Linked DNA regions of Kluyveromyces lactis. The protein of the gene in region 1 interacts with the protein of each later gene in a pairwise test. Links are inferred from orthologs where the notes say so. Each region holds a gene or a part of one and is shown on either strand. Other genes may lie near its edges. The genes, in order: KLLA0_C17380g and MSB3.

What was found.
Region 2: the proteins of KLLA0_C17380g (region 1) and MSB3 interact in a two-hybrid assay, tested with the Saccharomyces cerevisiae proteins (2 studies listed by BioGRID). The link is inferred for Kluyveromyces lactis from reciprocal best matches to the Saccharomyces cerevisiae genes SPA2 and MSB3.

Annotation. Positions count from the first base shown.
Region 1 is NC_006039.1:1,516,534-1,533,308, forward strand, and holds KLLA0_C17380g (uncharacterized protein), read left to right. Parts: upstream 1-8,182; coding exon 8,183-11,542; downstream 11,543-16,775. Other genes in the region: 1-phosphatidylinositol 4-kinase STT4, read left to right, coding at 1-1,610; aconitate hydratase ACO1, read left to right, coding at 2,495-4,861; KLLA0_C17336g (MCT family MFS transporter), read left to right, coding at 5,942-7,390; MRPL15 (mitochondrial 54S ribosomal protein mL57), read right to left, coding at 12,037-12,762; RNA-dependent ATPase ROK1, read left to right, coding at 13,408-15,147; ATP20 (F1F0 ATP synthase subunit g), read right to left, coding at 15,445-15,804; DUR3 (Dur3p), read right to left, coding at 16,235-16,775. UniProt on the Saccharomyces cerevisiae protein: Involved in pheromone-induced morphogenesis and efficient mating, perhaps as a cytoskeletal protein.
Region 2 is NC_006037.1:671,097-687,084, forward strand, and holds MSB3 (Rab GTPase-activating protein MSB3), read left to right. Parts: upstream 1-2,101; coding exon 2,102-3,961; downstream 3,962-15,988. Other genes in the region: RIM21 (Rim21p), read right to left, coding at 1-1,405; MDY2 (Mdy2p), read right to left, coding at 4,073-4,708; SHR5 (Shr5p), read left to right, coding at 4,936-5,712; TGL4 (triacylglycerol lipase), read left to right, coding at 5,971-8,298; DNA-binding SCF ubiquitin ligase subunit DIA2, read right to left, coding at 8,373-10,535; Mn(2+) transporter ATX2, read left to right, coding at 10,961-11,905; BUD21 (Bud21p), read right to left, coding at 12,016-12,768; KLLA0_A07645g (uncharacterized protein), read right to left, coding at 13,127-13,945; TVP38 (Tvp38p), read left to right, coding at 14,600-15,517; RTS2 (Rts2p), read right to left, coding at 15,642-15,988. UniProt on the Saccharomyces cerevisiae protein: Regulates exocytosis by functioning as a GAP for SEC4. Stimulates specifically the GTPase activity of YPT6. Also required for efficient polarization of the actin patches.

The DNA.
Region 1 (16,775 bases):
TTTCACATGCCTTCTCCTTGGATTGCAATTTAGCTGTGAATTTATGTGAACGATTCAACAATGAGACAAAATACACCGATAAGCTTGGTAAGCTCATTAGGAAGAACCCTGTGGACAGTTGTCATGTCCACACTGCGATGACGTATTTATTAAAAGAATGTGGCCCCGGAGCAACAGAGCATTCCGTCCCACATGAAGTTGTGTATTGGGTACCAGTCTCACCGTTATCATCGATCAACCTATTCTTACCACCATGGAATAGGAACAGATTCTTGTTGCAATACAATTTACGTGCATTGGAATCGCATGACGTAGAGAACACATTCTTCTACGTACCTCAAATTGTTCAATGTCTAAGACACGACGAGGACCAATACGTAGCGAGATTCATTCTCGACACCGCGAAGATCAGTCTTCAATTCTCTCATCAAATCATTTGGAACATGTTAGCAAACGAGTACCAGGACGACGAGGCTACCATAGAGGATCCAATAAAGCCCACCCTGGAACACATTAGGGCAAAGATGATTGATACGTACGATGACGAGGCAAAACAATACTACGAGAGAGAATTCACCTTCTTCAACGATGTTACCAGCATTTCTGGTAAATTGAAACCTTACATCAAGAAGACAAAGGCGGAGAAGAAAGCCAAAATTGACGAAGAGATGAGTAAGATTGTAGTTCAGAAGGACGTCTACTTGCCAAGCAATCCAGATGGAATTGTCGTTGATATCGACAGAAAGAGCGGTAAGCCTTTACAATCGCATGCCAAGGCTCCCTTCATGGCCACGTTCAGAGTGAAAAAGGACGATTCTGAGGAGAAATGGCAGAGTGCCATTTTCAAAGTTGGTGACGATTGTAGACAAGACGTGTTGGCGTTACAACTGATCTCTTTGTTCAGATCCATTTGGTCACACATCGGACTAGACGTGTACGTCTTCCCCTACAGAGTCACTGCCACTGCACCAGGGTGCGGTGTCATCGACGTCTTACCAGACTCCATATCAAGAGACATGTTAGGCCGTGAAGCTGTGAATGGATTATACGAATATTTCATCAGTAAATTCGGTAACGAGAGTACCATTGAATTCCAAAGAGCAAGAAACAACTTCGTGAAATCCTTAGCCGCTTACAGCGTCATCTCCTACCTACTACAATTCAAGGATAGACACAACGGTAATATCATGTACGACTCACAGGGCCATTGTCTACACATTGATTTCGGTTTTATATTCGATATCGTGCCTGGGGGAGTGAAATTCGAAGCCGTGCCCTTCAAGCTAACAAAAGAGATGGTCAAAGTCATGGGCGGTAGCCAACACACCCAGGCGTTCAGCCAATTCGAAGATCTATGCGTTGCAACTTTCCTAGGTATAAGACCCTACATGAACGTGATCATCGATGGAATAGTACCCATGCTAGAGAGCAGCTTACCCTGCTTTAAAGCACAAAAGACAATCAAGAACTTGAGAAACAGGTTTGTTCCGGGTAAGTCTCCTCAGGAAGCCGCCCAACATATGAGACAGTTGATCCGCCGGTCCTACGAATCGATGTTTACAAAGGGTTACGATGAGTTCCAAAGGTTGACGAACGGAATTCCATATTGAAGAGTGGAAAAAAAACAACAACAACAACAACAACAACAACCATGCCCGATCCTCGGGCATGGTCTCCATACCGTACCACTCTGTTACCCTGCAAACCGAACTTCGGTCATCCCAAGTTCGGTAAACTATTTTACCTTTTCCGATCCTCGGCCTTGGTCCATATCTCCACCGCCCTCGCCCCCGAAACAAAAACAAAAGCAAGGATGTATGGAGAAACCGAAGCCGCTCTTCATCCTTTTTTGCCTCGCCCATCATCGGCCCCTTCGACAAACGAGCGTAAAATGCCCACTGGCCAATCACAATCGGTCCTGGCCCCAGCTCACATAATCACCCGTACGTACCATTCTAAGTATCTCACCACCCTTTAACCGCGCTGCGCAGAAACCCCCGCGCCCTTTCATTTCCTATCCTTTATTCCCCTTTAAAACTCCATTTATTCAGTCGTTTCGACTCGTCCGCTACTGGCACTTCTACCGCTCGCTACTACAGCTTAGAACCATCATTTGGCTTTAACAGCTTTTGAAATTTTTTTTTTTTTTCTCCCTCTCTGGTTTATTCTGGTTTCATTATTTTTTACAGGCTTTCCTGTTTCAATCCCTCAGTGAATGATCAAATGGATCAAATGATGACTGTAAAAACAGTGGGCAAAGCATTATACCGTGATGTAATTTTTAGTTTTTTAATTAATACTGGCTAAATGTGTTGAAGATTTTGGCATTATATATATAATATAGCATTATCGGTTTGTTAGATTCTTCTTTTCCTTGGAGTTATTCAATTTGTTTCTGTATTTATTAGGTTCAGCGGTTTTTTTTTAGTATTTTCAGTTTTTAATAGTATTACATCTATCAAGGATTAAACCCCGCTTAAACTGCACTGAGATAATGTTGTCTGCTCGTGTTGCCTTGAAGAAGCAAGGAGTCGTTAGACAAGGAGTCATCAGACACTTGGCTACCGGAGTCTCTAGTACTATGACTAGAGACTCTAAAGTTCATCAAAATTTGTTGGAAGACCATTCCTTCATTAACTATAAACAAAACATTGAGTATGTCAATATCGTCAGAGAAAGACTAGGACGTCCATTGACATACGCAGAAAAGATTTTGTACGGTCATTTGGATGATCCTCATGGTCAAGAAATCGAAAGAGGTGTTTCTTATTTGAAATTGAGACCAGATCGTGTTGCTTGTCAAGATGCTACCGCTCAAATGGCTATCTTGCAATTCATGTCAGCAGGTTTACCTCAAGTTGCTAAGCCATTGACTGTTCACTGTGACCATTTGATTCAAGCTCAAATTGGTGGTGAAAAGGATTTGAAGAGAGCCATTGATATCAACAAGGAAGTTTACGATTTCTTGGCTACTGCTACTGCTAAATATAATATGGGTTTCTGGAAGCCAGGTTCCGGTATTATCCATCAAATCGTTTTGGAAAACTATGCTTTCCCAGGTGCTTTGATTATTGGTACCGATTCGCATACTCCAAATGCTGGTGGTCTAGGTCAATTGGCTATTGGTGTTGGTGGTGCTGATGCTGTCGATGTCATGTCCGATTTGGCATGGGAATTGAAGGCTCCAAAGATTATGGGTGTTAAGTTGACCGGTAGAATGAACGGTTGGACTTCTCCAAAGGATATTATTCTAAAGTTGGCTGGTATCACTACCGTCAAAGGTGGTACTGGTAAGATTGTTGAATATTTCGGTGACGGTGTTGACACTTTCAGTGCTACTGGTATGGGTACCATCTGTAATATGGGTGCTGAAATCGGTGCCACTACATCCGTTTTCCCATTCAACAAGTCTATGATTGACTATTTGGATGCTACTGGTAGAGACAAGATTGCTCAATTCGCTCAATTGTACCACAAGGATTTGTTGTCCGCTGATGAAGGTGCTGAGTACGATGAAATCATCGAAATCGATTTGAACACTTTGGAACCATATGTCAATGGTCCATTCACTCCAGATTTGGCTACTCCAATCTCTAAGATGAAGGATGTCGCTGTCAAGAACAACTGGCCTCTAGAAGTTAAAGTCGGTCTTATCGGTTCTTGTACCAACTCTTCTTACGAAGATATGTCCAGAGCTGCTTCCGTCGTTAAGGATGCTGCTACCCACGGTCTAAAATCTAAGTCTATCTTCACTGTGACTCCAGGTTCTGAACAAATCAGAGCTACCATCGCTAGAGATGGTCAATTGGAAACTTTCAAAGAATTCGGTGGTACCGTTTTGGCTAACGCTTGTGGTCCATGTATCGGTCAATGGGACAGACAAGATATCAAGAAGGGTGACAAGAACACCATTGTTTCCTCTTTCAACAGAAACTTCACTGCTAGAAACGATGGTAACCCAGATACTCACTCCTTCGTTGCCTCTCCAGAAATCACTACCGCTTTCGCCATTGCTGGTGATTTGAGATTTAACCCTCTAACCGACACTTTGAAGGACAAGGACGGTAACGAATTCATGTTGAAACCACCAACTGGTGTTGGTTTGCCAGTTAAGGGTTACGACCCAGGTGAAAACACTTACCAAGCTCCACCAAAGGACCGTTCTTCCGTTACTGTCCAAGTTTCTCCAACGTCTGACCGTCTACAATTGTTGAAACCTTTCAAGGCTTGGGATGGTAAGGATGCTTTCGATATGCCAATCTTGATCAAATCTCTAGGTAAGACCACCACTGACCATATCTCTATGGCTGGTCCATGGTTGAAGTACAGAGGTCATTTGGAAAACATTTCAAACAACTATATGATTGGTGCTATTAACGCTGAAAACAAGAAGGCTAACTGTGTCAAGCACCACTACACTGGTGAATACGCCGGTGTTCCAGACACTGCTAGAGCTTACAGAGATGCAGGTATCAGATGGGTTGTCATTGGTGGTGAAAACTTCGGTGAAGGTTCTTCTCGTGAACACGCTGCCTTGGAACCAAGATTCTTGGGTGGTTTCGCTATTATTACCAAATCCTTCGCAAGAATTCACGAAACTAACTTGAAGAAACAAGGTATGTTGCCTTTGAACTTTGCTGAACCAGCTGCTTACGACAAGATCAACCCAGATGACACCATCGACATCTTGGGTTTGACTACTCTAGCTCCAGGTAAGAACTTGATCATGAGAGTTCATCCAAAGGAAGGTGAAGCTTGGGAAACCCCATTGTCTCACACTTTCAACGCTGAACAAATCGAATGGTTCAAGGCCGGTTCTGCTTTGAACAGATTGGCTAACGCCAAGAAGGCTAAGAACTGAATAGATCAAATTTTTCAAGTATAAATTTGACCTCTTCTCTTCTTTTGGTTCAATCAACATCAAAAACAAAGCACAAATTTCCCTCCCACTTACAACCCCCCCATATTATTTATTTCTAACTCTTCTTTTATCCATCGTTTTTTGCACTTTCACATCTGCTCTTAGAGACCATTCAAATATTCCCTAAGATTTCAAAGATTTGATATCATCAAATACAATTAAGAAAAAGATTGATTGAGAAGATACTAGTAGTAGTATACTAGAAAAACCAAAACCATAAAAACCCTTTAACGAAAAAAAAAATACCAACACACATTCTTCATTTTATTATTATTCACCCTGTCTATCTCAACATTATCATTTTTTTTTCATATCATAAAGTATCATATCATTCGTATTATCTCTCTATCTCTTTCTTTTTCTTTCCCTTAGTATCGGCTTATCCGAGCTATACCATCGAACTTCACCAAAAACACGAAAAAGATGACATTACACACTTTATGCAGGATGTTAACCCACCTCTAATAACTTATTTATTTATTTTTGACGTTATGAAATACACATACATGCTTATCTTAACTACTTCTTTTGACTCATACCAGTTTGTTGCCGCTTATGACGCATTCGGCCGCATCTTCTTAGTAACAGCCAGACAAAGAATTGTGACTCAGCGCATGATATCCAACTGAAAACAGGAAAGCGATGCTAGTAAAAGCACATATACCTTGCAGTATCTGCAGCAGCAAAATATGCAGATTTTGTCGATTCGGAGCTATATGGAACTCCAACGGAACTATGTAGATCTCCAAACTCATTACTTGGTTGCTAAAACTTTTTTTTTTTTCCCTTTCGGCCTATATAAAATGGTCGAAATTCATTGTACGATGCCCATCACATACGGCTAGTAAACAAACTTGCATGTAAAATCAAGCTTAAAGGTTAAAGTTAGCCAAGAAAAAGGAAGGTATCGAAGCACCAAAGAGAAGTTCAATATTCGAACGAGCGTTAGCAAGGGTATGAACTGTAGTATTTGTGTACTTCTTCGATAGGGTTTTTGTTTTTTTATTTGAGAGAGATAGGATGGTAGAAAAAGATCTGGAAGTTAGCGACCAGAAGAGCAGAGAGAAAGATGCAGCATTTTATCAGGAAGAAGCTATGGTGAATGAAACAGAAAAATATAATGAATCCGTGGATTATAACAAGATTCAAATTCCGGACGGTGGATACGGCTGGGTTGTTTGTATGTGTTACTTTTTCCTTAACTTTTGTACGTGGGGTTCCAATTCTGGGTTTGCCATTTATTTGTCATATTATCTAGAAAGTAATCGATTCCCAGGAGCTACGAAATTGGATTTTGCTGCTATTGGTGGGTTAGCTTTTGGTGCTGGGTTAATATTTGCACCATTAATTAATTATTTTGTGATTAAGACCAGTGTGAAAACATCCATTGCTGTTGGGATTGTTTTGCAAGGTGCTGCGTTGTTGCTATGTGCATTTGCGACAAAATTATGGCAAGTGTTTTTGACACAGGGTTTATTGGTATCGTTTGGGTTAGCATTCATTTCTATTCCGGCAACTAACATCATCTCTCCATGGTTTAGAAGAAAAAGGACGTTGGCTCTTGGGATCGGTGCGTCAGGCTCAGGATTAGGTGGTATTCTTTTCAATTTGGCAATGCAAAGGATTGTCGAAGTGAAGTCATTGAAATGGGCATTGATCTCTCAATGTATTATCAATTCTGTGTTAAGTACCGTTGCTCTATTATTAATTAGAACAAGAGATAACGTTGTGCGTGAAACGGCTAAGGAAATGCCCAAATTTTTTGAGTTATCCCTACTGAAGAACGCTGCTGTATGGTTCTTGATTTTTTACGTGAGTTGCACAATGTTGGGATACGTTGTACTATTATATTCACTTAGTGCCTTCGCCGTATCCCTAGGTTACTCACAGAAACAAGGTTCCATTGTCTCTTGCATGATCAGTGTTGGTGGATTTGTCTTTCGACCAGCTGTTGGTCATGTTGCTGATAAATACGGGCCTGTAACTGTGGGGATCATAGTTCATGCTATTGTTGGTATCATATGTCTTGCCATGTGGATCCCATGCAGAAATCTTGCCACTGCCATTGCATTCGGGCTCCTATCCGGTGCATTAATGGGTAGTATCTGGCCATTACAAACAAGTATCATTTCCAGAATCGGTGGTCTTAACAAGTTACCAGCCATTTATTCTTTCACCTGGCCTTGTATCGGCATGATGTCCATTGTTTCCCCAATCATTGGTCTAAGACTACGTAGTAACGATCCAACAGTTGCCAACCAATACGTGAATACAGCCATTTTCTCCGGTATGGGATATTTCGGAGCTGCATTTTTCCTATGGATGATTCGTGGGTATCTAATAGCTCGTGACAAGCTCGCCATGGTTGCAAAGACAGGTCACGACGATGGTGAATTGCATTTACACGTCACGATTCCGGAACTCTTGAAAGGTCTACTGACAATCGGACGACTACCAAGAAAAGTTTGATGTATATAATAGAAAAAGATATACTAAAACAAAACCTAATAATATGCATGTATATTCTAGTATAATTCAATGCTATACTATAATTGCTCACACTCATTGTTGCAATGCTTTCGTAAGTGCGATGCTTAGCATACATTTTGCCCAAATCACCAAGGTATTGGTATCCGAAGAGTTGTATTTCCAACAGAAATCGCTGCTTTAGCTCAGTTGGGAGAGCGTATGACTGAAGTTCATAAGGTCCTGTGTTCGATCCACAGAAGCAGCATTTCTTTTTTATTTTTTTTATCGATTCTCTTTTCTTCTCATCACGTGAAAGAAAACGCCAAACTTTCAATAAAATTACGCGTTATCACGAAGAACGAGGTGTAGTAAGAACGCTTTTTTTCTTTTGGCTGAAAAAACGATGAGTTCTTAGGTATGGAAATTGAAATATTGGAATTAGAATCTTGTTTCAATTCGAATTAAACAGTGGATTAACTCTTCTTCATGAAAGAAAGTCAATTGTATAGAATCAAGTATTCATCATTACGAAATAAGTGCGAGTTGTTGTGAATCAGCGGTAGCGGTTTGGTAAAGACGATACAAGTCTTAAAAGGAGAAGGCCGTCAATTATTTAAACTTGGGAAAGTATCGAATTGAGTTATTTACAGACACACTGGTTTCTTCGATTTCACTTCCCTTTTTTGACCATTATACTTGAAACGAGTGTCCTCAGTGACAATTGCAATTGACATTAATACGTGTTCTTAATTGACCATTGTTTGATAATTTGTTTTCATTTTACCGTTCCAAATGAAAGAGGGTGCTAAGGAACTGAAATATGCACAAAAAGTGCAGATCCATAATTATTATGTTGCTTTAAAACAATTCTTTGAGGTTACCGGTGGTAGCCATGATAGATCAATGACATCGCGTGCTCAGAAAGCACGTTCAAAGCTGTTAAAACTTTCTTCGTCACAGTTTTTCGAGTTGAGTACTGACGTCAGCGACGAATTGCAAAGACGAATTGATGAATCACAGCCACAACATGACTATTTAGTTCCTAATGAAAGTTTCCATGCAAAGAGGAACCAGGCAAGACAAAAATTGGCGAACTTATCCAATGCGAGATTTAATGATTTGGTCGATGATATTCTTTTCGAAATCAGAAGACGTGGGTTTGACACGTTACCTGAACCAGAAGAAGCAGATTATCAGGAATTCCCAAATGCTGATACTGATGAAGATTTTAATTCGAATGACAAGGCAGAGGTCTCCTCTCCTGCATTACACGTACTTGATTCTAAGCCATCGCCAATTGTACCTAGCAGTATAAATAATACGTCGGTGGAAAAATTACCAGAAGATGAGAATTCTGCACTTAATGCAACTTTGCAGACTTCTACAGTCATTCCAAAGACAGCATCAATCGACTGGAGTTCAGATGAAGAGGATCACAAACCAGAAGCTGATGAGAAGGAATTAGCTAGTGAAGACAATGACGTTATTAAGATAGATAGAGCGTTTTCACTAAATCAGTCCCCGGTCATTATTCCAGATGAAACACAAAGCCCACCTCAACCTACAGCTTCCTCACCTGTGGGAAATAGAAGTCCGATTTCCATAGATGACCATTTCACGTTCTCAGAGAGACCGTTATCACAATCCAGTGAGGCTAGAACTCCATTGGCTCAAACTGCTGCCACTACAGCAATGGCTGCAAGTGCTGGGTTGTCGCCTTTCACCAGTAATAAAAATAAAATGGGATCCTTGTCTCAATCGGTAGAACGTAACAAAGATCGTGATATAGAGCTATTAGTTCTGGAAGGGAATAAGTTGGACAGTACCATTACAACTTTGGAGAGAGAAAAATCAGAACTTTTGAATCAATTAGATGAATTGAAGACCAATAATCAACGATTAACAGAAGAAGTTCAGCAATTGAAACAGAATGCCGACCAATCAAGTACTACTAAAGCTCTAGATAGTAATTTCCAAAAGGGAATGTCCGAAATGACTACTCAACTAAATCAACTGTCAATAGAAAACGAAGAACTCAAACAAGAAAAACTAGAACTTCAGCTGCAATTGAAAAATATACAGTCTCCAGTTAAATCGATTGACGGTAAATCAGGGAAGGATGCTGCCTATTGGAAATCAAAGTATGAAGACGCTTTTGCTGAAAAACCTGTCAGAACAAGCTCTTCTTCTATGGCCCCCATTTCAAACAAGCAACTTTTCCCTGAAACTAGTATAATACCGTCAAATCTCATCGACGACTTGGATTCCAAGTTATCACAAATACTAAGCCTCATTGTGTCACCTGAACCTCCAGTTTTGTTTTTATTCGAGAACATTGCTTCCATTTCAGAATATTGTTCAAAAATTTTAACTTTAGTTCACTCCCCAGATACAAAGACCATGAGACTAGTGTTAGAGAACACAATATCACATGCTATCACATCTGTGCGTTACTTCAGCAGCTATAAAACTCCATTATCAAGAGTTATTCTTGAAAATTCTGTTTCAGAAATCTCATTTGCAATCTATGATTTGGTTAAGACGGTAAATGGCGGATCCAATAACGATGAAATATTCACATCAAATAAATCTGGTGATCAACTGGATAGTCCACTTGGCCTCTCCATGCAAAATAGACAAACCTCGAATAACTTTGCTAAAGGTTTACACGAGGGAAGTGTTTTAGACAAACCATCACTTCTTCCTTCTCGGGCTGATAGCGTTGAAATGTCTCCGGTCAAACCTTTGAAAATTACCCAGAAAAAAAATACCGACGACGCGTCATCAAGGCCTGTTTCAGTTAGAAAGCCCTCTGGAACTGGCTTATTTACAGCAATGCTTAATGGGGGTATGAAGAAAGATAACGCATCAAAGAAATCCAAGAATATATTGCAGTTAGAATTACCTCTGGATAACAATTCCAAATCGGAAAGCAATGCTCCTATAATCGAACGCAGAGAATTGAAGACCATTGATGCAATTAAGTCTGCTTCAGCCAGCAATTCACTTCTACCTACTTCGCCACTTGCCAAAAAATCATCAGCAGTTGTTCCTTCTGACTTTAAAGACCCAAATCCTTTTGAGTTATCATCTCCAGAAAAGGGAAAGCTATTGCAAAATATTAATTCTGACATATACAACAGCAATGATGAAGAAACTGAAAGCGAAAGTGTAGAGGAGGAGGACGATGGGAATTCTACATATGAAGTGTTAAGACAAACCATGAAGCAAAAGCATCTACAAGAAGAAAACGGAACCAACGAAGAAAAAAATTTGAAAGGAATTTTTTCGCCAGTGGTACATCCACAACCTATTGAAGTTTCAACAGAGGATGTCGACTTAAATGAGAAGTCATTCAATTTTGAATCTGAAGAAAATGCTAAATCTGAATCTGAATCTGTACCTTCGATAACTGTAAACAAAAAGAATATAAAACTCGTTCCTATCCCTGCCGTTACTCCAACTTTGAAACAAAAAGAGCCATCCCCATCACCTACTGCCGAATTGGTTATTTCTCCATTAAGGCCTATAGTAACTGCTTCTGATAATTCAAAAGTTAATGACGATCAGAAGGCCGTCGATGCCAACAAAAGCGAGTCAGAAACTAAAGAAATCGCAGAACAATCAGAAACTGGTGAAACTGACGACGACATTGAATTTGACGTTGATGCGTTTGACATTGAAAATCCTGACAATAGTCTTTCTGACTTATTGCTATACCTAGAATATCAGACAATGGATGTTATAAACACAATTCAATCGTTATTGAGCAGTATTAAGTTACCTAAATCCACTGCTGGAGAACTAAGAACCGAATCAAATGCTATCAATCAAGTAATAAGGCAAATGGTGGAAGCTACAAGTGTTTCCATGAACCAAAGCCGTAATTCTCAATTGAAAGAACATGGTTCATGGGTTGTTCAGAGTTTAGATGACTGTCGTCGTAGAATGACCATACTTTGTCATCTTAAACCAGACGGTATTGTAGTAGCGCACGAGGGGGACGAAGAGTTCGCAGATAAGCATTTCAAACAACGTTTAGCTGGTATTGCATTTGATGTAGCAAAGTGTACCAAAGAATTGGTAAAGACTGTGGAAGAAGCTAGTCTTAAGACCAACATTGAGTATTTAAATGCTAAGCTTTCCAAGTAAATTACCAGCAAAAAACATCCCTTCTATGAAGTTATATATGTATTTATATACATGTATTGTATTATGTACTTTTCTTAATCTGTTTTTATTTTGTATGTTAACATTTAATTAATGATAGATTTAGTTGTAAATTTATGTACGTCTATATTTCTAGAGATACATGAGATATATACAGTGCGCGCGTTTCTTTCGAGGTTCATTTTTAATTGAAGTGTGACGATGGAGTGTCGTTAAAAGGTTATGCTTTTCATGCTTTTGGTAAATTCATTATAATAAAACGTTGAAATTGAGCAGGGATGAAAGAGTAGATTAAAACACCACATTGACCAAGAGCTGTGATTGAAACTTCCGTTTCGAAATATATATATACAAGTTTTGAAAGCTCTTTCCCAACTCCGATGGAGACCATTCACTCGAGTGCTTTTTATTGATGTCGAAGTCTATTGTGTATTCCATTTCTCTTTCTTTCCTGTCGTGTAAAATTAGACATAATATTATAACTTCTCGGTCGTATCCCTGTTTGCTAACAAACTTTCAGATATCTTCGTTAGGGAATCACTATTGTCGCTGAATAGTTCATGCAACACGTATTCGGTGGCCTTGTCTTGACCGTGCAATAGATAGACACTGCCGACCACAGAATTTAGCACAGTTTGTAGCACGGTATACTCACCGTTATATTTGTGACTTTTTTGAGTGTCTCGTTTGTTCCAAAACACTAATTTATCTAGGTTTCTCCTTTGCAAAAATTCAGCCGTACTCTGTTTGGATATTAACATTTTAGAACTTCCCTTCCCAAGCATACCGAAATTTAGTCCGTTAATAACAGGTTCAGACTGTACGCTTTGTGATAGTTGCCTTTCAGAAACAGGTAGACCCAAGGAATGAAGACAAGCTTGATATTTCACAAAATGACCACCGATAATAGACAATTTCTGATTGTATGGTTTAATACCTTGGGCAAACGACTTGTGAGTCAAACATTGTGTAATGATGTCGTCTGGCAAGTCAATACCATATTTTTCCAAATTCAAACCTTGCTTAACAGTAGATACATGGCCATCCTTGACAAGAGAATCATAGTGCAAACCGTGTGGATTCTTCAAAGACTCAACTGGGTCTCTTTTCAAACCACGTACCCTAGTCCCAACGTGTAGATAAGAACCATTACGCACGCCGAATTTTGTGCTTAAGTTAAGACCAATTTTGGTTAAGGACATTATTCCAGAAGTAAAAAAATACTGTCTGAATGGTTTCTGTCTGGTATTTTCACAATTCAATCTTCCTCGACCGAATATCAACAGATTGTAATTACACAGGACACAAATATTAGAATTATTGAATCTTAATTCTAACAGTTTAGTCCTTTTAACTACGATTCAAACTGTTTCTTTGTAGTTTTTCGACTCGAGGCAGCGATCCAAATTTTGAAATTTTTCAAAATTTTTCAGATCACTCCAAACGAGGTCATCGCTGTGTCTAAGTGCTATCTTGTATGATGGGAATACATGCAATATCAAGGCATTAGGTACTGTTATCAAGGGAATATGGTCATTATGGGCTGGTATTATGAGGGCTTAATACCAGCTGTATCTTAAAGTAAGCTTTGCTGCATCTTTATGCCTTGAGAAGTACTTTTATATCGATTTTTACACTTATTGTACCCTAAGTTTTGTGAAAAGAAACGCTTCAGTAAGATCAATTTTAATTGAAAAAACTGCAATTAGATGTAGGCGATGAGATGAGATGAGATGAGATGAGAGAGTAGTAAGAGATTGATTATATCACTCACAGTGGTTTACTATCGAATTTATTCTCATTACTAAGTAACTTCTCACAGGCCAATACTAGCACCGCTAATTAACATGGATATCTTTAGAGTCTTGACTCGTGGAGCTAGCATAAGGAAGAATGGTGATTCTAATAGAACACAGTCTGCAGACTTTAGCATGGCTAATGAAAAGAAGAGTAAGACAGCTGGCAGCTCAAGTACACCAGCTAGAGATGAACAACAATTGACTAAGGAGTTGGATTTTTTCCGTAATAAGAAAATCATGAATAAGGTAAAGTCTGAGTCAACCAAAGGTGAAGGTGAAGACGAAGTACAAGAAGATAATCAAGAAGAAGACGAAGATCATGCTGATGACGAGACTGAGTTATCCGGGAAAATTATCACGAAACAAGATGCGTTAAAGTTACGTAAATCTTATCAAGGGAATGTTTCAGGGAATAGTGTTCCTTTGCCCATCGGTTCTTTTGAAGACTTGATCACAAGGTTCCAATTCGATAAGAGATTGTTAAACAACCTCATAGAAAATAACTTCACTGAACCAACTCCGATTCAAAGTGAATCTATACCGATTTTGTTGCATGAACGTGACATGATCGCTTGTGCTCCCACAGGTTCTGGTAAAACGTTGGCATTTTTGATCCCACTACTGCAACAGATAATCAACGATAAAACCACAGTTGGTCTTAAAGGTTTAATTATATCCCCAACAAAAGAACTTGCGAACCAGATCTTCATCGAATGTTCCAAATTAGCGAACAAGATATACTTGGACAAGAAAAGACCTCTGCAAGTTGCCCTACTTTCAAAATCATTAAGCTCAAAATTAAAGAATAAAGTTATCAGTGAGGACAAGTACGATATTATCATTTCTACTCCCTTGAGATTGATTACTGTGGTTCAGGAAGAAGCCTTGAATTTGGGTAAAGTGAAACATTTAATATTTGATGAAGCGGATAAATTATTCGACAAGACATTTGTGGAACAAACTGATGATATCTTGAGTTCATGTACTGATCCACATCTCCGTAAAACAATGTTCTCTGCCACTATACCATCCAACGTGGAGGAAATCGCCCAAACCATCATGAACGATCCTATCAGAGTCATTATCGGTCACAAAGAAGCAGCAAATATCAACATTGATCAACAATTAGTATTCTGTGGTAACGAGGAAGGTAAACTTATAGCCATCAGGCAATTGGTTCTTGAAGGTGAATTCAAACCTCCAGTAATCATCTTTTTGGAATCTATTACAAGAGCCAAGGCATTGTTCCATGAATTGCTATATGACAAGTTGAATGTGGACGTGATCCATGCCGAAAGAACTCAAGTTCAAAGAGATAAAATTATCGAAAGATTCAAGTCTGGAGACCTTTGGTGTTTGATCTGTACCGATGTGTTGGCTCGTGGTGTCGACTTCAAAGGTGTGAATCTGGTCATCAATTATGATGTTCCTAGATCAGCTCAGGCGTATGTGCATAGAATCGGTAGAACAGGTAGAGGTGGTAGATCCGGTAAAGCCATTACTTTTTACACGAAACAAGATTCTTTGGCAATTAAACCAATAATAAACGTGATGAAGCAAAGTGGATGTGAAGTCTCAGAGTGGATGCAAAAGATTTCTTCCATGTCCAAAAGAGAGAAGGAATCATTGAAAAAGGGTAAGGGTCATGTGGAGAGGAAACAAATCAGTACTGTTCCTAAGGTTGTAAAACAAAAAAAGAGACAAAGAAGAGAAATGATCGAAGCTTCAAAGAAACGGAAACTCTCTGTATCGGATGCCGAGGAAGAAGCTGGCAACGATTCGACCTAACCTCAGGATAACCCCTGTTGCTTATTTCCAATATCAAATGTTCGAATTAAGTCATGATGATATACATATAATTAAAGCGTCGCAGAATCCGTATGTATATTACATATAGACGATACATATATATAGTCTTTTAACACTTCATCTGGGAAACCAGAGTAAAAGTCGCTTTATTTTTAGGTTGTTTTTTTCTTGGCTGGAAATGAATATAGTGTTGTTTGTAGTTGTTAAAATTTCGTTCGTATGTTACTGAATATGCTTTTAAAATTGATACGGTCGGCCTCTCAATCAATTCCATTTTTAGTGGTGAGTAGAGTAGTTACGGTAACCAACAACCTTTCTTCTACCGATAATTTCACCCAATGAGTATAAACCTAACAATTGCACGCCGAAAGCACCGATCTTAACGGCTTGGTCCTTTTCAATGTTCTTCAACAAGTTAACAACTTGTTGAGGCTTATCAGCATAACCCAAAGCTTGTCTGTACAATCTGGTGTAGACCATTTCAAAGTCCGAGAAGTTTGGTGGCTGTAGACCTTCCTTAGTGTAGACCTGCTTGGATAATTCAGCAGTAACCTTACCGTAGTAAACGGTCTTGGTCAACAGTGATTGTGTCTTGTGTGTCAAAGAAGAAACTAAAGATTGGACTCTGGAAATCATTGCTGCTCGACTTTTATCTATTGAATACACTAAACCAACCAAGCTAGAAGTGTGAGACCTTGTAATCTTCTATCAATTGACTCTTGACTTGATGCTTTAGTTCGATATCTCTTCATGTTTGGTTCAATTCAATGAAAATTTTGAGGGAAAAGATCAACAGTATTACCCGGACATTTGAAATATCCGGCCAATCATATTTGAGAACCGTTGACTTAAACGTAAGTGAAGAGTACTTCACTTCTTGTAAAGCTTATGAATAGCGGTGGTTTACTCCATGGCTGGTCTGTATGCCTTATGGGTTTCTGTTAAGGTTACTGTGACCCCGTTTTACCCTGGCCATTGATGTCTTTAAGAGTTATTATCATAATTAAAAGAATTAAGATGGTTTATGGATGACTATATGAGAAAAACTATAAGGTGATGACTTCCATCAACGTTCGATAACATCGTCCAAGTTTTGCCTCACTTTACTTTTGTTAGTTTCCGATCTGATTGATTCGATCTTTGCTATGATTTGAGATTGCACAGCTTTCATTTCCCGTGGGTTAGCATCTTGCCATTCCCTTAATTTGTAGGTTTGACCCGATAGATCCCAGTATATACCTCTTACCGTGGTATATATGCCGTGTCTTCCTTCCCATAGTGGGTAACAGCACACACAGAATGCAGTGAAGAAGATCCAAATGATTAGGACACAGACCCAACCGGTAAAGAACTTTTCAGAGAAGATGTATCCGGTACCATACATTGGCATTGGCCATAGGACCATAAATGAAATAGCGAAAAAGATGGCCAAATATCCAGCAATCTTACTAGCTCTGCTTAGATACTGACTCTCTTCTTCAGCCATTCTTTCAATGGTTTCTCTTGGGATTTCGTCTACAGTTGTTATCACGGTTTTCACAGCTTGCAATTTCTCGGCATCTTGATTGTTACCAACACTGTCAGAATCAGAGACAGAGACTTCGTTT
Region 2 (15,988 bases), on another chromosome or scaffold:
CATTAACCATCACATTATCAGTATAGTAAACAATTGACTCAAGAACATGGTGGCATTTATTCCAAAATGTTTCCGCTCTCTTGAACTGTGTTATATTACGTTCACCTTGTTGAGTATGGAGAGTGACTTGGTCTGTCGCCATGGTCCCGAATGTCGAAGTCCTCTGCGAAGAGTTATCAGTTATAATTGAACTACTATCATTAGTATTCGCATTTTGAAGACTTACGTTTGCATTGTCGTTCGAATCACACGTGTGACCATGATCATGAACGTGACCATCTCTATGCATTTTCATTGCATTTTGCATCCTTAAGGCGTAAATGGCGAAATGGAAATTCTGCTCTTCATCCTCGTATATGGGTCTTCCAAGAACACTGGCAGCATGGATCTTCCTTTCCATCGTATGTATTCTATTGGTCCATTCCAACACTATAACGGTGGAGGCCAAATAACACGTAGTATTAAAGATCTCACTTAGATCATCGATCCACAAGTTTGATACATCGACGATGAAGAACGTGGGATGCAAGAAGACTGTAAAAATGGTCAAAAGAGTTAAAAAGATCATTCTCCCTCGGAAGCAGAGAGACTTTTTAGTTAGGACATGAAAACAGATCACGCTTGCGTAACAGGTTGACAATGCAATCCTAAACAAATAAACAAAAGGCGGGAGAATATCGATATCCGAATCCGAATCCTTCGTCGGTACTGGACTCAAAGTAGGTATGACCCATAAAATCTGGGTCACAAGGATTAAGAACAACCCAAAATAGAAAACCATCCTCTTCTCTTGCATTCTATCAAAGAATCTCATCACAATCTGCACCTGGCTAATCTGCAATAAGAATACAACAACTAAATCGATACCAGCAAATACCTTATCGCCCCAAAGAAGATTCAAAAACGATGTAGATGACACATAACCATTATAAGTATAATTCTCTGCAATATTCTTCCATACTCTAATGACAAATATGGAAAGGTTTAATGATGCCAACAACGCACCCAATTTCAAAATGTACGACGCCTTACGACTGGGTTTGGTAGGAACGTTGATGAAAACGATCACCGTTAGGAAAACAGTGATGATAAAGTTGGCAGTAACAGAATAAATGACAGAATAGATGCTGTATTTGAACGGTCCTGTATATCCATCGTTGTTGATATAACTATTCCAATCGAAAGCCACAATAGGAAGATACGGACACTCATCCTCTAACTCCACAAACGATGAATATAATGGCGTGCCGTCTTGACAATTACTTGTAAACACTAATGACTTGATATAGGCGAACTTATCGGGTAGTTTATTCCATATTAGCACACCTTCGTCTAATTGGACACCTTGACAACTTGAATAGTCCTCTGACGGGAAATGATATCTCCATCTGGAACGCCCTGTCATATTGATCTATAACAGTGAAATTAACTTCGATACTAAACACCATCCAACATCACACATCAGCAGCCGGTCTCCAGTACCACACAGATGAGCTAATGGGTTATTTAACTTATATTTCTCTCTCCGTTTTACTAATTTCCTTTCAAGTCTTCAATGCTCATCGCAGGTGTGGTTTTAAGTCTAAAAGTTCAAATATGAATGTGGAGTATAAAAGAAAGGCGTGACATACACTTGTAGTTACCATTACCATTAGAGTAAACCTACAAACAACCTCCACAGACTCACTATGTGGTACCAGACTCCAACACTGGGGGCGAACACATGTCCTAGGTGGTATAAACCACGAAATGTGTACTGAATGTTCTTTCACGTGACAATCACGTGAAAAAAGCATGACTGAAATTGATTTCTCGATCTGTTTTCATTACTGCTTAAAGGATTTCTGATCAAATGACTAGCAGGTTTGAAGCTCTCACACTCTACAACCAAAATTCAAGAGAGAGGCATAGGTCTTTCAAGGTGCTAAGGGACGTGTTTGGTTTTCATATCGGGCAGATAAATATCCAAAGTTGCAACATACCAAGATCTGAGACGCGTAGCTGAATTCAAAGCTCATCAAGGTAACTTTTTCCAGTTTGTTTTGGTGATTTTTTTTGTTTATAGAACATCACATGACTGTAAAACCGAAGGTGAAACTAGATGAATCAGGATCAAAATCAGGCAAATCGTATGTATAAAGGTCCAATACGTTTACACACGATGTTTTCGCCGAGTGTACCAGACCTGAATCGAAAATTCAGTGATTTGAATACTAGTGAACAGTCAATTGCTGTTAGTGACGGGGGAGTTGCGTTACGGAAGAATGTTGTTAGAAACAATTCTAACTCGGAACGTATATCTGGAAGCAAACGCCCCAAGAGCACGATATTAAGGGAGAACTCAGCTGGATTATCTCTGATAAATCTATACTACGATTTGGATGATGAGAACGAAGAAGAGATAGGTCAAGTTTCGATGAAGGGACATAAGATCAATCAGAATAACAGTGGATCATCAGAATTGGAGTTGAATGAGGGAGCGTTAACACTAGCAACCGAGGATAAGACCATTAATTTAGATGATAGTGGGTCATCAGATGCGTTGAATGGGATCGGTCAATTGCCCACGCCAGAATCGGAATCTCGTGCGAGTCAATTGCTTGGAAACTCGTCTCTGATAGAAGATGCAGCTTCAATCAAGGTGAAGGATTCACATTTGGATAGGTATGGATTCATGAAGCAGAACCAATATATCTCAGAGAAACAATATAACGAATGGTGGTCAGAGTACTCCAAGTACTGCATTCGAAGGAAACGGAAATGGAAAGACCTACTTTTAAAATCAGGTTTACCAGTAGATAATGATTCTCCAAGTCGATTCCCTTCAAAGTCGGAAAAGTTGAAGAGATACGTGCGAAAAGGTATACCAGCTGAATGGAGAGGTAATGCTTGGTGGTATTTTGCCCGCGGTCAAGAGCTTTTGAATAAAAACATTGGTGTTTATGATAAATTACTGACTAAGATCAATGATCCAAGCTTTACAAGTAAAGATACTGAGATTATAGAAAGAGATTTACATCGGACTTTCCCTGATAATATCCATTTCCAAAGATCCAAGGTCAGTTCCGAGGACCCACTAATTATAAAATCTTTAAGGAGGATCTTAAAGGCTTTCGCCATCTATAACGCTAAGATCGGTTATTGTCAATCGATGAATTTCTTAGTTGGTCTTTTACTATTATTCATGGATGAAGAACGTGCATTTTGGATGCTAGTAATAATGACATCTAGGTACTTACCAGGAGTGCATAGTATTAACCTGGAAGGTGTCAATATTAACCAAGGTGTGCTTTTACTATGCATAAAAGAGTATCTGCCACACTTTTGGCAAAGAATATATTCCAATAAAGATCAACAACACAGTCCCGGCCTATCCAATAAGAACGAATTTCTCTATAAGTTGCCACCAGTCACACTCTGTACTGCCAGTTGGTTCATGAGCTGTTTCATAGGAGTAGTACCTATTGAAGCTACCTTACGTATATGGGATTGTCTCTTCTATGAGGGTTCACACATTCTTTTCAAGATGTCGTTAGCGATCATCGAACTAAGCGAGACCAATTTACCAAAATTAAATCACGTTAGCAGCCGAAACTCAGACGATGAAGACATGGAATTATTCCAAGCTATTCAAACATACCCTAGACGGTTGATAAACCCCAACGATATTATAGACAAAGCCATCTTCAAGAGGAGATTGAGATTCAATGCACTCAATCAAGAGGAAATCGAACGATGTAAGAAGTACGTTATCTCTCAAAGAGCCAAATACAAGAACTTCCAAGATGTAATGAAGAATGAAACCACCAACTCCAATAATAAGAGAGACTCCAAATTGGCACAGGAACTGATCAATGAAACCTTTTCTAACGAAGGATACGGATTCAAGAAGGGTTTAAATGGGGTAAATTGGAATAATAACATCAAAGAAAGAGTACGTAGATTGAGCAGAAAGAGGTAATTCTCTCATCACCAATGGAAGAAAGAGCAGAAATATCTAAAAGTATAAAATCACTACATATATAACCGGGTTGTTTTGCATTATGGACCAACAAATGACATGTTCTATCTTTTACTTACTCAACTCCCAACCTTTCTGTAGCCTTCCAAGGGCCACTGAGGCCGTGCTAGCATCCAAGCTACTCTCTAAAACGGTTCTAATTTTATCCCAAGGCAAATCAATATCTGTTTGAGATGAAAGATCCAACTGTGGATCCTCCATATCGACATCCATCAACTCAAGTTCAGGTTCAGGTTCCTGCGCTGGTTTCGGCAAAGGTGCTGTTTCCACAGGTTTCTCTGCTTTGGAAACCATTGCGACAAGGGATATTTTATCCTGGTTCAAATCGGAGACCAATTGAGTGTCGTGGAGGACTTTACCCTTTAACAACAACTTGATTTGACCAGTTGTATATATCTCAGGCTCGGTTTCCACTAAGAATTCCTTGATCTGACCCACGGTATCGGTAGATTCGAAGCTTTTGGAATGAACAAATTTAGGCGCTTTGATCGATTTGATGGTAACTTCTACAACTTTAGAGATACTCTTAGAATGTGATTTACTTGGATCATATTTGTACCTCAATGGGGGCAACGAAACACCAAGGTTTGTAACTTCATGTAATGGTTTGCGGTAGTTCGATGCAAGTTTTGGCTCATTCAAAGCGGCCAAACTCAAAAATTTACCAACGAAATCAAGTTCAGACATGATTGGAGGTGGGATGTGCGATATTGTAGTAGTTTAGTTCCTTATACTCCCTTATACATCTCTTCATTAGATGTCTAACTTGTGTTAGTGTTAATCTGAACATAAATATCAATTCCGTTAAATTTATTTCAATTCCTACATAAAAGGGTAAAAACACGAACGATATCAGATCAATACGGGAAATAAGAGGTAGAAACGGCATTCTACCAGGTAACATTGCAACACAAATGGTATCACTGGTACTGGCAGATACTGCAGACAGTTCAGATCTATCTAAAGCTGCGATTACCGTTGAAGAATCAACTTCTGCACAACAACCGAAATTCTTCAATTACCATGAATTTGTGATTACAAAGTACAGAGCACTAGATGAGGAATCATGCGAAGAGCATGGACCTGAGAATCCAATCTGCATCACCCATTTTCCAAACATATACGTACCTGAAGAAAGCGATGAATTTAGAACCACTAGAGTCGTTCGAATTCCCAGAAGGTTTGAGTCATCCACAGAATTTCCTAATTTCAGCACACAGTTACCTGGGTCTGAACCAGCAGCCTTACCAGATACTCACAACAAGGAGTTCGTTCCGGCAGGAGAGTTTGAAGGCCAATGGTATGGCGAAACGTCAGTGAGCCCATTATCAAACTATTTGGATCAAGCGGAATGGACTGAAATTGTAACTCGAATCAATTCACTCTTAGAGGCTGCATACAACCCAATAACCAGAAGAAATTTTGTCAACGTCATATTGGACCTCTTGACACTGAACTTATGGAGTATCATCGAGCCATACCTGTTCGTTAACCCGTTGCAATCAGTTGAAGACTATGTCTCGGAAATCAATCGATCGGAATCGTTCAGATTGAAGGGCATAAAGATCATTCCGCCCCGAGAAAGCTCATATCTATCGGTATGTATAGATAGCCCAGCATGGATTAAACCATGCACAGCCATAAATGAACCCTTACTAACCCATTGTGACACCCTTATCGTCCTTCTTTAACCAGCTTGATGTTGTAACACCGATGCCCAATCACTGTTGACGGCGTTGAAACCTTTAAGGAAACATGCAAAGGAAACAAAGCAAAGAATGACACTTTAATAACCACCACATGACTGATTTGCTTGAAAGGATTCTGTTGATGTGGTCTAATCAACCTATAAAGGGCACGAAGCATAGCATCAGATAATAAGCTTACATACGCTTTGCTCTGTTGCATACACACAAACCTGCTGAGCGGGATATTACTTATATTTTAGAATGCCGAATGTCATGAACACGCCCAGCGTGACTGATATTAAAGATGACCCGATTACTAGTTATGTCATTAAGAACTACTACAAGAGGGCCAATAAGGGCGCCGAAATGACAGAAGAACAGAGTCGCAATGATTCTGGACAAGATGAACCGCAGTTGAACTTTTTCTCCTCGCTGTGCAATAGCTTTTACAAATTTATTAGGGGAGCCGATAGTACTCATGAACAAATAGCTCGTCTCATAGAGCAGAAACAGAATGCGAGATCTTTACAGGAATGGCTTGCGGCGGCAACGAAGCTAGACGATATTACAAATGCTGAACAATGGAAATCAAAGCGGGAGTCTGTATTGTATGATTATTGCCTTGTCGAATCCAGCACAGAAGCGATGAAAAAAGCGCGCTTGGCAAAGGATTGGCCTAACCTCTTATATCTTATAAGAACCACTTGGGTTCGGAACCGTGGTGGTATGGGGAATGTAAACCTTTATAGGCATTCGTATGTTGGAACCAAGCATATCATTGAGGATTACGTGGCAGAATCGTCTAGATCTTTACAAGAACTAGTTTATAATTCAGATTTGGACGACACTTACTTGCTGGGGATGCTCACACAGACAAGAAAGAATATAGGTAGAACCGCATTAGTGTTGAGTGGTGGTGGCACCTTTGGATTGTTCCACATCGGTATCCTTGTGACGCTTTTCGAGCAAGAATTACTTCCTCGAGTAATCAGCGGCAGTAGTGCTGGTGCAATTGTTGCTTCGATTCTTGCTTCTAGACAAGAACATGAACTCATGGGCTTAATGGATGAAATCCTCGTAAAAGACTTCAATATCTTTAAAGATGACTTAGAAATGAGCGAAAGTGAAAACCTTCTTATAAAGATCTCCCGGTTCTTCAAGAATGGTACTTGGTTTGACAACAAAAATCTTGTTAGTACAATGATCAATTTCTTGGGGAACCTTACCTTCAGGGAAGCATATAACAGGAGCGGGAAGATTTTGAATATTACAGTCTCGCCTGCATCCGTTCATGAACAACCGCGGCTTTTGAACAATCTAACATCTCCGAATGTCTTGATTTGGTCCGCGGTTTGTGCCTCTTGTTCTCTGCCTGGCATTTTTCCATCTTCTCCCTTGTACGAAAAGGATCCAAAGACCGGAGAAACAAAACAGTGGAATTCAAGTTCGGTCAAGTTTGTCGATGGATCAGTCGACAATGATTTACCGGTTTCCAAACTTTCTGAGATGTTCAACGTTGACCATATTATTGCATGTCAGGTCAACATACACGTCTTCCCCTTTTTGAAGTTATCTGTATCCTGCGTAGGAGGAGAAATAGAAGATGAGTTCAGTGCAAGATTCAAGATGGCATTAGGGAAAGTTTACAAATACATGGCCAGCGAAGTGATACATGCATTAGAGATTGCTACCGAAATTGGTATCGGAACCAATGTCCTGACAAAGCTAAGATCAGTGTTGTCACAACAATATAGCGGTGATATCACTATACTTCCTGAAATGAATACACTACTACGATTCAACGAACTACTATCTAATCCCACCCAAGAATTTCTACTAAGGGAAGCTACTAATGGTGTTCGTGCTAGTTGGCCAAAAATATCAATCATAAAAAATCACTGTGGTCAAGAATTTGAACTAGATAAGATGATTAATTATCTAAAGGGGAAGATCATATCTAATACAGATATCAAAGGAAATCCCTTCCAAATTTCAAATCGGGACGTTCCTTTGATTAACAGTCCAGTTCTTGCTAATAGCGAAAAGAAGGCAATACAAGTATTTGATGATGTGCTATTAAATGCTGATAATTTGGATAACTTTATGGTAGTACCCGACGGAACAGGTTCCTTAAAATCACAAGATTTAAACAATCCTCCGAGATATTCAAATGAGTTTGGAAGCAGGGCGCACAACCGTCGCAAATCAGACTCTGCAACCAACGGAAATCGAAAGGGTAAGCGTCATAACTCTATATCGCTACCATATTCGTCTTCATCTTCGCCATTATCAGAGAAGAAGTATTCTATGATAAATTTCCGTCCTTCGTTTGACAAAAAGACGAGCACAGGCGATCTACAGGTAAGGAAACCGTACCCATATCCTCCAAAGAGCAGCAGTTTCTCTAGAATCGATTACGATCCGAGATCCAATTCTCTGACTCCGATACTTGATCATGCTGTGGGAACCCGCAGGGATGACTCAATTTTACACTCTGATGTGAAATCTAATCCCAACTCTCCCTTGAGGTTAAGAACGAAAAGCTCCGTTTCAAGAAGAGCATCTCGAAAGAATCCCGATACTGCGTAACAAAAGTGCTCCGACTGAAGTGCACGCCTTTACTCATCCTCTGTGATTATTTAACTATGTATAAATGCTATTATTTAACGGTACCAAAATGAATTCACACCGAATTTTTCCCATTGTTGCTTATTGAAGGCACACTCAATGTTTTCAACGTAGCCATTACGTTCAATATCCTTGACCGTTGTGGCCGATATATGAGAACATCCATCGATAACCAAAGTTTTAAGTGTTATTCCATTATCAAAGAGTTCTCTTATAATGTCATAAAGTTGATATCCTTGCATAGAAGGATTAAACGACAGGTCCAACCTACTTAATGAACCAATTTCTGATATGACAAGTGCTAACTGCCTGAAAGCTCTAACCTGGTGAGAACTCATATTCGGTACACTGAGATCCCTTAGATGCGTCATATGCCGTAAAAACAGAAATGCAGTACTTTCTATGTCTGTCCTTGGGTAAAGTTCATCTGACATTTCGAATACATTTCCGATGTTTAGCTTTCTAATAGAAGGAAGTTCATTTAACAACCTATATAGCACACTTCTTGCAATGGCAGAGTTCATGATGTCTAAAGTCTGGACCGCTCCAAGATTTGCAAGAATGGGTTCGATTTGTTCATCGGTCCACATTTGGCCATTGAAGCTCCTATTAGATTCAGTGGAACTTTCCCTAAAGGTGAAATATTTTAAGCGCTTCAAAACGTTTGGCTCTTGCAAGCTCTGTAAGAATCCCATCAAAGACAAACCGGTGTTCCGCTCTAGCCAAAGATCCGTGAGGTTGGGGAACTTTTTTATCCAATCTGCAGTCTGGTTAAATCTGAAATCACGGTTGGTAACAATAAGTTTTGACACATTGGCAAACCGCAGGGTGTCCGAAGAAAAGATGCAAGCAAACGGCGTGGGACCTGTCCATCCATTATCTTTGAATATTAACTTAATGGATTGTAAGGAACGACTTATATTGTCATTGTTCGGAAACTGCAATTGTCTGCGTCTGTGTATGGAAGAATTTCTACCTGGCACCATAGCGGTCCCAATAAGTACCTCGATTTTCTTTAAATTATCGATACGTTCAAGGAAAACAACATCCTCATCTGCCCAATGGTTAGGATCATAATGGCCAAAGACAGAGAACTCTTGAAGATTCGCAATCAATTTTTCCTTATCCGAGATCAATTGAAGTACCTTCAAGATATTCAAATTAGTGAATTGTAAGACCAGTTTCTTCACTTCCTGGTCCAATCCGTTGAACAGTAACTGTGAACACTTAGCTTCTTCATTAGTGGCCATTACAGAGAAGTTCAGATATTGAATGACGGAGCTCACACACCGTTTCGTTTTCACGAACCTTAACAGTGAATTAATCTTCGAATAATTTGTCTTGGGAACACTTAAATAGTCTATAATCATTGGAGTGGTCGATAGTTTTCGATACCAAAATTTGGATACCAGCATACATGATGTGATATCCTTTGTATCCAATCGCCGCATGATAGATATCACAAGTTCTGTTGGGAAAGTTTGGATAGGGTCTATAGTTGCTCGTTTCATTTTCTTATTCATCGTTGAACCGTCATGGTCTTGATCTGTATCGGAGACAAGGTCATTTTCCTCAATGTCCTCATTGTTAACTAGTTTCTGCTCTATTAAAACACGCTTCTTACTTGGTATCTGTTCGGAATTCCTAGCCCCGGATTCAGCATCATTGCTATTAACCAACTGCATAGCGTTCCTTTTCAATAATTCCTCGTACCGATCACTGAAAAGCTTCTCATGTACCGGAGACACGAGAACCCCGCGTTCCTTCAACTCTTTCACAAGTTTCCTTCCGCTCTTGTATACCTGCCTTGCCCTATCACCCTTATCAGCCAGCTCGTACGACTTCCCGAGCCTTAACAAGGCCCTAGTACTAGACGGTTCAATCTTGCAGAAATACTGTGATTCCTTAACGGCTCGTGCATAGTCGCCAACTTTCATCAAACACGATATCCTGCTATCCAATAGTTTCACGTACAGAGGATGGTAAGCCTTACTCTCATCGTAAGCACATCTCTTGGGCATTCCAGCACGTATACGAATATTTTCCACCATTTCCATCGGATACGATCGTGACACTTTCATGGCTTTTGAGAAAAGACCCAACGCCTTGGAATATTCCCTACATTGCATCCATTTCAGCCCCAGCTCATAAGTCCTAGTCAGCAGCCCATCGTCTAAAGCATCGATTTCTTCACCCATTGGTTCATTGTTAATTTTACAACAAAATGATGCGTCACCAGTTGCTCTCTTTATCTACAGATTAAAGTGTCACTGTTTTCCGCACTGCGTTCTTTACGGAGATTTTACCAACCAGTTAATCTCACTCTACCCACTGCTACAGTCGTGCAGAATGGCATTAACACAATGCACCCGGTTATATCCTACATGTTTTTCCATAAAGAGATATGTTCAGGGTCCAATTCTTACTTCGAACATCAATTCTAAATCGCACGATTTAACCTTTCAACGTTGATATATAAGGTAAATAATGACAAAACACGTTGATATGACTGGTCTTTGGCACTAATTGTGTGCGTTATACGTCAGGACTGCAATTTGAATCAAGATTGGTAGCGGTAATAGACACTAGTGAGAGGTGAACACGGATACACGTTTGATTAACCATGTCTCAGCTGCTAGAACCTTTACTTTCGGCAGTATTCCTATTCTTTGCGACATTAGGAACGGGGCTTATCCCGGTGATGTACATGAGTAAGCTAGCTGAGAAGGGAGACTCTGGCATGGGGTACTTGAAGTATGTGTCTGATTTCGGTATTGGTATGTTGTTAGGTACTTCTTGTTTACTAGTGATACCGGAAGGTGTCGAGAAATTCGGTGATAAGGGTGGCCGTGGGTTTGGGATCAGTTTGTTATTGGGATTCATGATTCTATATGGACTAGATAGGTTCTTACATGCACTGCAAGCTGGTCACATCTTAAGTGGTTCGTTTGATGCTTCTGCTGCGCCTGATCCTCTTGAGAGGAATATCGATTTGATCAATCCAAGGAAGACGGTGCCATTTATCTTAACGAACAATATCGTATTCGCGTTGGTAATCCATGCATTCTCTGATGGACTGGCGTTGGGGATTGCCGAATCCTACGATTCGTTGAAATTCGTGATGTTGATCGCCATTATTATACATAAAATTCCTGCGACGCTTTCCTTGACGGGGATTATGATTTCGAAACAGAGATTACCCAAACTACAAGTAATCTCTAATCTTATTGCATTCAGTATATCCACACCGTTCGGGTTGCTATTCGTGATCCTGATGAGATTCGTCAGCAAGGACCTAATCGAGAAAATGAGCGATGGGCTATTGGTTCTGAGCGGTAGTAGTTTATTGTATGCTTCATTGCTTGCGTTGATCTCACCAAGTAAGGACCAGGAACAACAGTTACAGAATGATGGCCCGATCCCAGTGTCGGGTTCTGTTTTAGAGATGGGCGAAGGTGTTACCACTGAAGAGAAAATAGAACAAGAATCACTTCCAGATGTCAGATTGTTACTCTTGGGTATCTTTATCCCGTTAATGATCTCTTTCTTCGCTCCTCATGATAGCTAAAGCCAATCAGGAAACTCCTCTTTTAGATAATACATTATACACGAGACAAATCACATGTATAAAGACCTGTATATTTGAATAGATAGGTACATGTGGGCACAAATCCTCTTCTATTTACGTTTGAGACTTCTTCTTTTCAACCATTTATCCTTTGATTTCATGACACTGGTTTCCTTTTTTGGAGCCAGTGTCTTAGATACCTTCATCGACGATAGCAAGTTCACAGTGACAGGTCCTTTCTGTATTTGGGTCTTTCTCAATTCCCTTAGTGATCTCTTCTTTTGTTTCCGTAATTCTTCTTTTAGGGCCTGTTCTTCTTCTCTTTGCGCTTCTGCCGAGAAAGTAATATGTTTCGGCGTAGCCTTTGCGAAGGAAGATGCAGATCCACTTTCTAGCTCATCAAAGAACTCTTGTGGTAACTCTTCCGGCTCATCATTATCCGAACCCTGCTGCGCTACTAATTGTCGTTCAAACTCTAACATCTTTTCTCTCTGTTTCTCCTCCTCAGACTCGAGCAGCTTCTTCTTCTTCTCTAGCTGCTGTTGCTTGAACACTTTCTCGTTCTTTCGTCTCTTCTCTCTAGCTGCCTCTTCTTGTAACCTTGCAGCCTCTTCTCTTTCCTGAATCCTTTTCTCTATAGCATCTTTCCCACTACTCAAGCCTTCTTCTTCTGGCGCATCGCTATCACTCTCACTCTCACTTTCACTTTCACCATTCGCTTCTGCTTTTGTTGGTTTGAGAGCATCTAGGGTAGAGTTGCCCTCATCAGCTGTATGGAATGAATCATCCGCATCATCATCGAACTTCAAGTGTCTCTTCGCTACCAGTGCAGCACCAGAACCTAGAACTTTCTTCAAACCCATTGTTATATTTCTCAGTAAACTCTTGCCACTTGTCTAATCCAATGCACAATTGAACAGAAACACTGACAGAACGGTAACACGACCTGCTTCATGGACTAGTTCCAGTGGTTCATCTCATCTCATCTCATCGCTTTGTCCAAATTTTTCACTTCGAAAAGAAATGATACGTAAATAGAGGTCACGTGCTGAAGATTTTGTTCCTGACACTGGACTACGAGTAGAATGCTCATCACCCGTTAACGGACTGTGCTGTGTATTGGCTGGTTCTGGTGCTATTTGTTGGTTAGATTATATCAATTTATATCAACTTTATTGCTATGCTAATGGTATTTAATGTGTAGCTTGCAGTACTGAAACATCATGACACTTTAAACTCAATATCACAGAACTGGGTACCAAAAAGCATTCTTGCCACGTCTGTACCCATTATCCAGCATATACATGCCTTTATAATAACCAAGAGATATGATCTACCAGTTCCTGTTACTAAAGAATATATTATCCCAATGACACAGATGGTGATTAGGATATAAGTTATGATGACAGGATATCTTGCGTATAGCATTTGCAAGAACCGACTTAACGGACTGGTAAATGGTGATTCCCTGGATGGGGGAATTGAGGGTGACTGCACGGGGTCGCCTGAACATGGCTGATCGCTTGATGGTGGTGGTATTGGAATTGGCAACGAGGGTGTTGACCAGCAATGTATCTGTGCAGTGGGGTTGGACTCTGGGGAAATTGTTTGGTATGTTGTCAAATCAGGCAACTGTGATTCTAGTAGCGGTGACGATTCCTCCGCGACGCCGATATGACCCTTTTCTAAATCGCTGGCATTATATACCAAAGAGTCACTAACATTTCCATCAGGTAATGGTCCTACTATTATCCTAGTTGGTGTGCTGATTGGAACAGACTCCGGATGTGGTGAAGATTCCACAATGCGGACAGATTTATTCTCATGTTCGTGCGTGCCATCAACAGGTCTTAATATAGACTTGATTGGTATGGGAGTGCTGCTTTTCTGGCTACTGCTCTCACCGGATTGCATTGGTGGGTCCAGTTGTTTGGGTTTAGGTTTGGGTTTGGGTTTAGGTTTCGCTGCTGAAGCTGGTGCGTAAGTGATTGGTTTATTTCGACGTTTAGGCGAAAACCGCTTATTCAATAAGCTCTTCATATGATTTAGCTCTGTACAGTAGAAGCTGACGTTCTCTCTAAATATCTAGATTCAGATCTCGACCTTGAACGGTTGGAGAACGTCTTATGTCGTGTTCTCTATTAAAACGTTTGTGGCTGGGATCTAAATTCAGTTCAATTTGACGTCTGGAAAACTGACACAAGGAATTACCGGCGATTGAACAGCCGTGTCACTTCAAAATCGGGGGTTTAGTAGGGTGTAACCATCTGTAACAACAGGACAGCTATCTTGGAGAGCCCGTGCTTCTAAGTGCATCGCTCTGTGTTTTCTCTTGTGAGGTGGTATCATTTATTGCAATATAGGATGAATATCACGTGACCATAAGGTCTCCGGTTAAAGGTGATCTAGATATATTGACCGTCAATATGATCACACAGGTTGTAACACCAGTTCCGTGCATTCTTCTGCTCTAACTAAGAAAGGTTGTAGTTCACTTCAGGGACGGTTAGAAACCAACTCTTTCCATCGTATCCTTCATTATTCACAACTCCGCCACTATATTACAAAACATTTAATTAATTCATCAAAGAGATTAACACTTTGAACACTGTATATCTGGAAATCAGAGAAACATATGCTGTTGTCAAGCCTCTTAGTGTCGGTAAAGACTCAAGGTCAATTGATACTAGTATAATGGCTGATCTTTACGAGGCTAGAGTTAGTTCTGGCGGTTTGTCGAGGCCTTCAGACACGGATTTTTTGGATAGTAACGACAACTTTGATGATTTGGACGATGACTTCCTTGACATATACAACTTGAGCTGGAGGCAACGTATTGTTCAACATGGGAAACGGCATTTAAGAAATGGCAAGGATAAGTTTAATGCGTTGAGCAGACGAAAGAAGGCTCTTGTGGTGTTTTTAGGGGTCCTTGAAATCATATTAATCTTTATCACAGTAGTTAAAAGGGAAGCGATAATGAAAGGGTTGGTGGATGCCTCTAATGATCTGAGACAGAAATGGTACACACCTCTAGTTCTAATGCTACTTATATTAGCGGTTTCGTTCCCGCCATTGATCGGATACTCATTTTTATCTCTCTCTACAGGTTTGATCTATGGGCTTTCCTTCAAGGGTTGGTTCATTCTTGCCATGTCCACTGTGATTGGATCAGTTCTCTCATTCACAGTATTCCAGAGATTGTTGCATTCCCATGCTGAGAGATTGATCAGAATGAATCCCAAATTAGAAGCTGTATCATCGGTATTACAAGGTAATGACAGCTATTGGATGATTGCTCTTATTAGACTTTGTCCGTTCCCATATTCTTTCATTAACGGTGCGATAGCTGGTATTTATGGAATCTCAATCAAGAACTTTGCCATTGCTAACATCATCACCACACCAAAAGCGGTTATTTATCTCTTCGTTGGTGAAAGGCTCAAAAACATGGGAGAAACAGACTCGGGTTCTACAAGGTTAATCAATTTCATCTCTATTCTATTGGCTAATGGATTTTTAATATTAACAACGTGGTTCCTCTATTACAGATTCAAAAAGAGATACTTAGAACTACAATCTGAACAGCAAAACTCTTTTGACATCTTTTAGAAAGAACGGCCCAAACGTGAGTTATATCTTGTATTATTCGCAAACAAAGTTGCAATGCTACGTGTGTAGCGCGGTATATACTTCAATGAACGGTCCCCATTAATATTACATATATATAAGTGCCTCATTTCGTTGGCTTGAAAACATTTTTGAGCTTCTTTTTCGGTTTCTTCTTAGTCACCTTCGATGTGGATACTGTTAGATTTATAGGTCCATCTCTTATATTGGCTTTTATTTCCTCTTCTTCTTCTTCTTCTTCCTTTTGACCCGATTTGACTTCTTCAGCGTTGGCCTTCTCGATTTGTTTCTCCAAGAGCCTTAGCTTAATCTCTTGGTCACTACGTTCGGCTTGTTTCAATGACTCTATTTGTTTCTTCCGTATCATATTTGGTGAAGACGAGTCGATATAACTTATCATAAACCGTCCTGGGTCTGTATCGCTAGTAAGCTCATCTATTCCATGGATCCGTA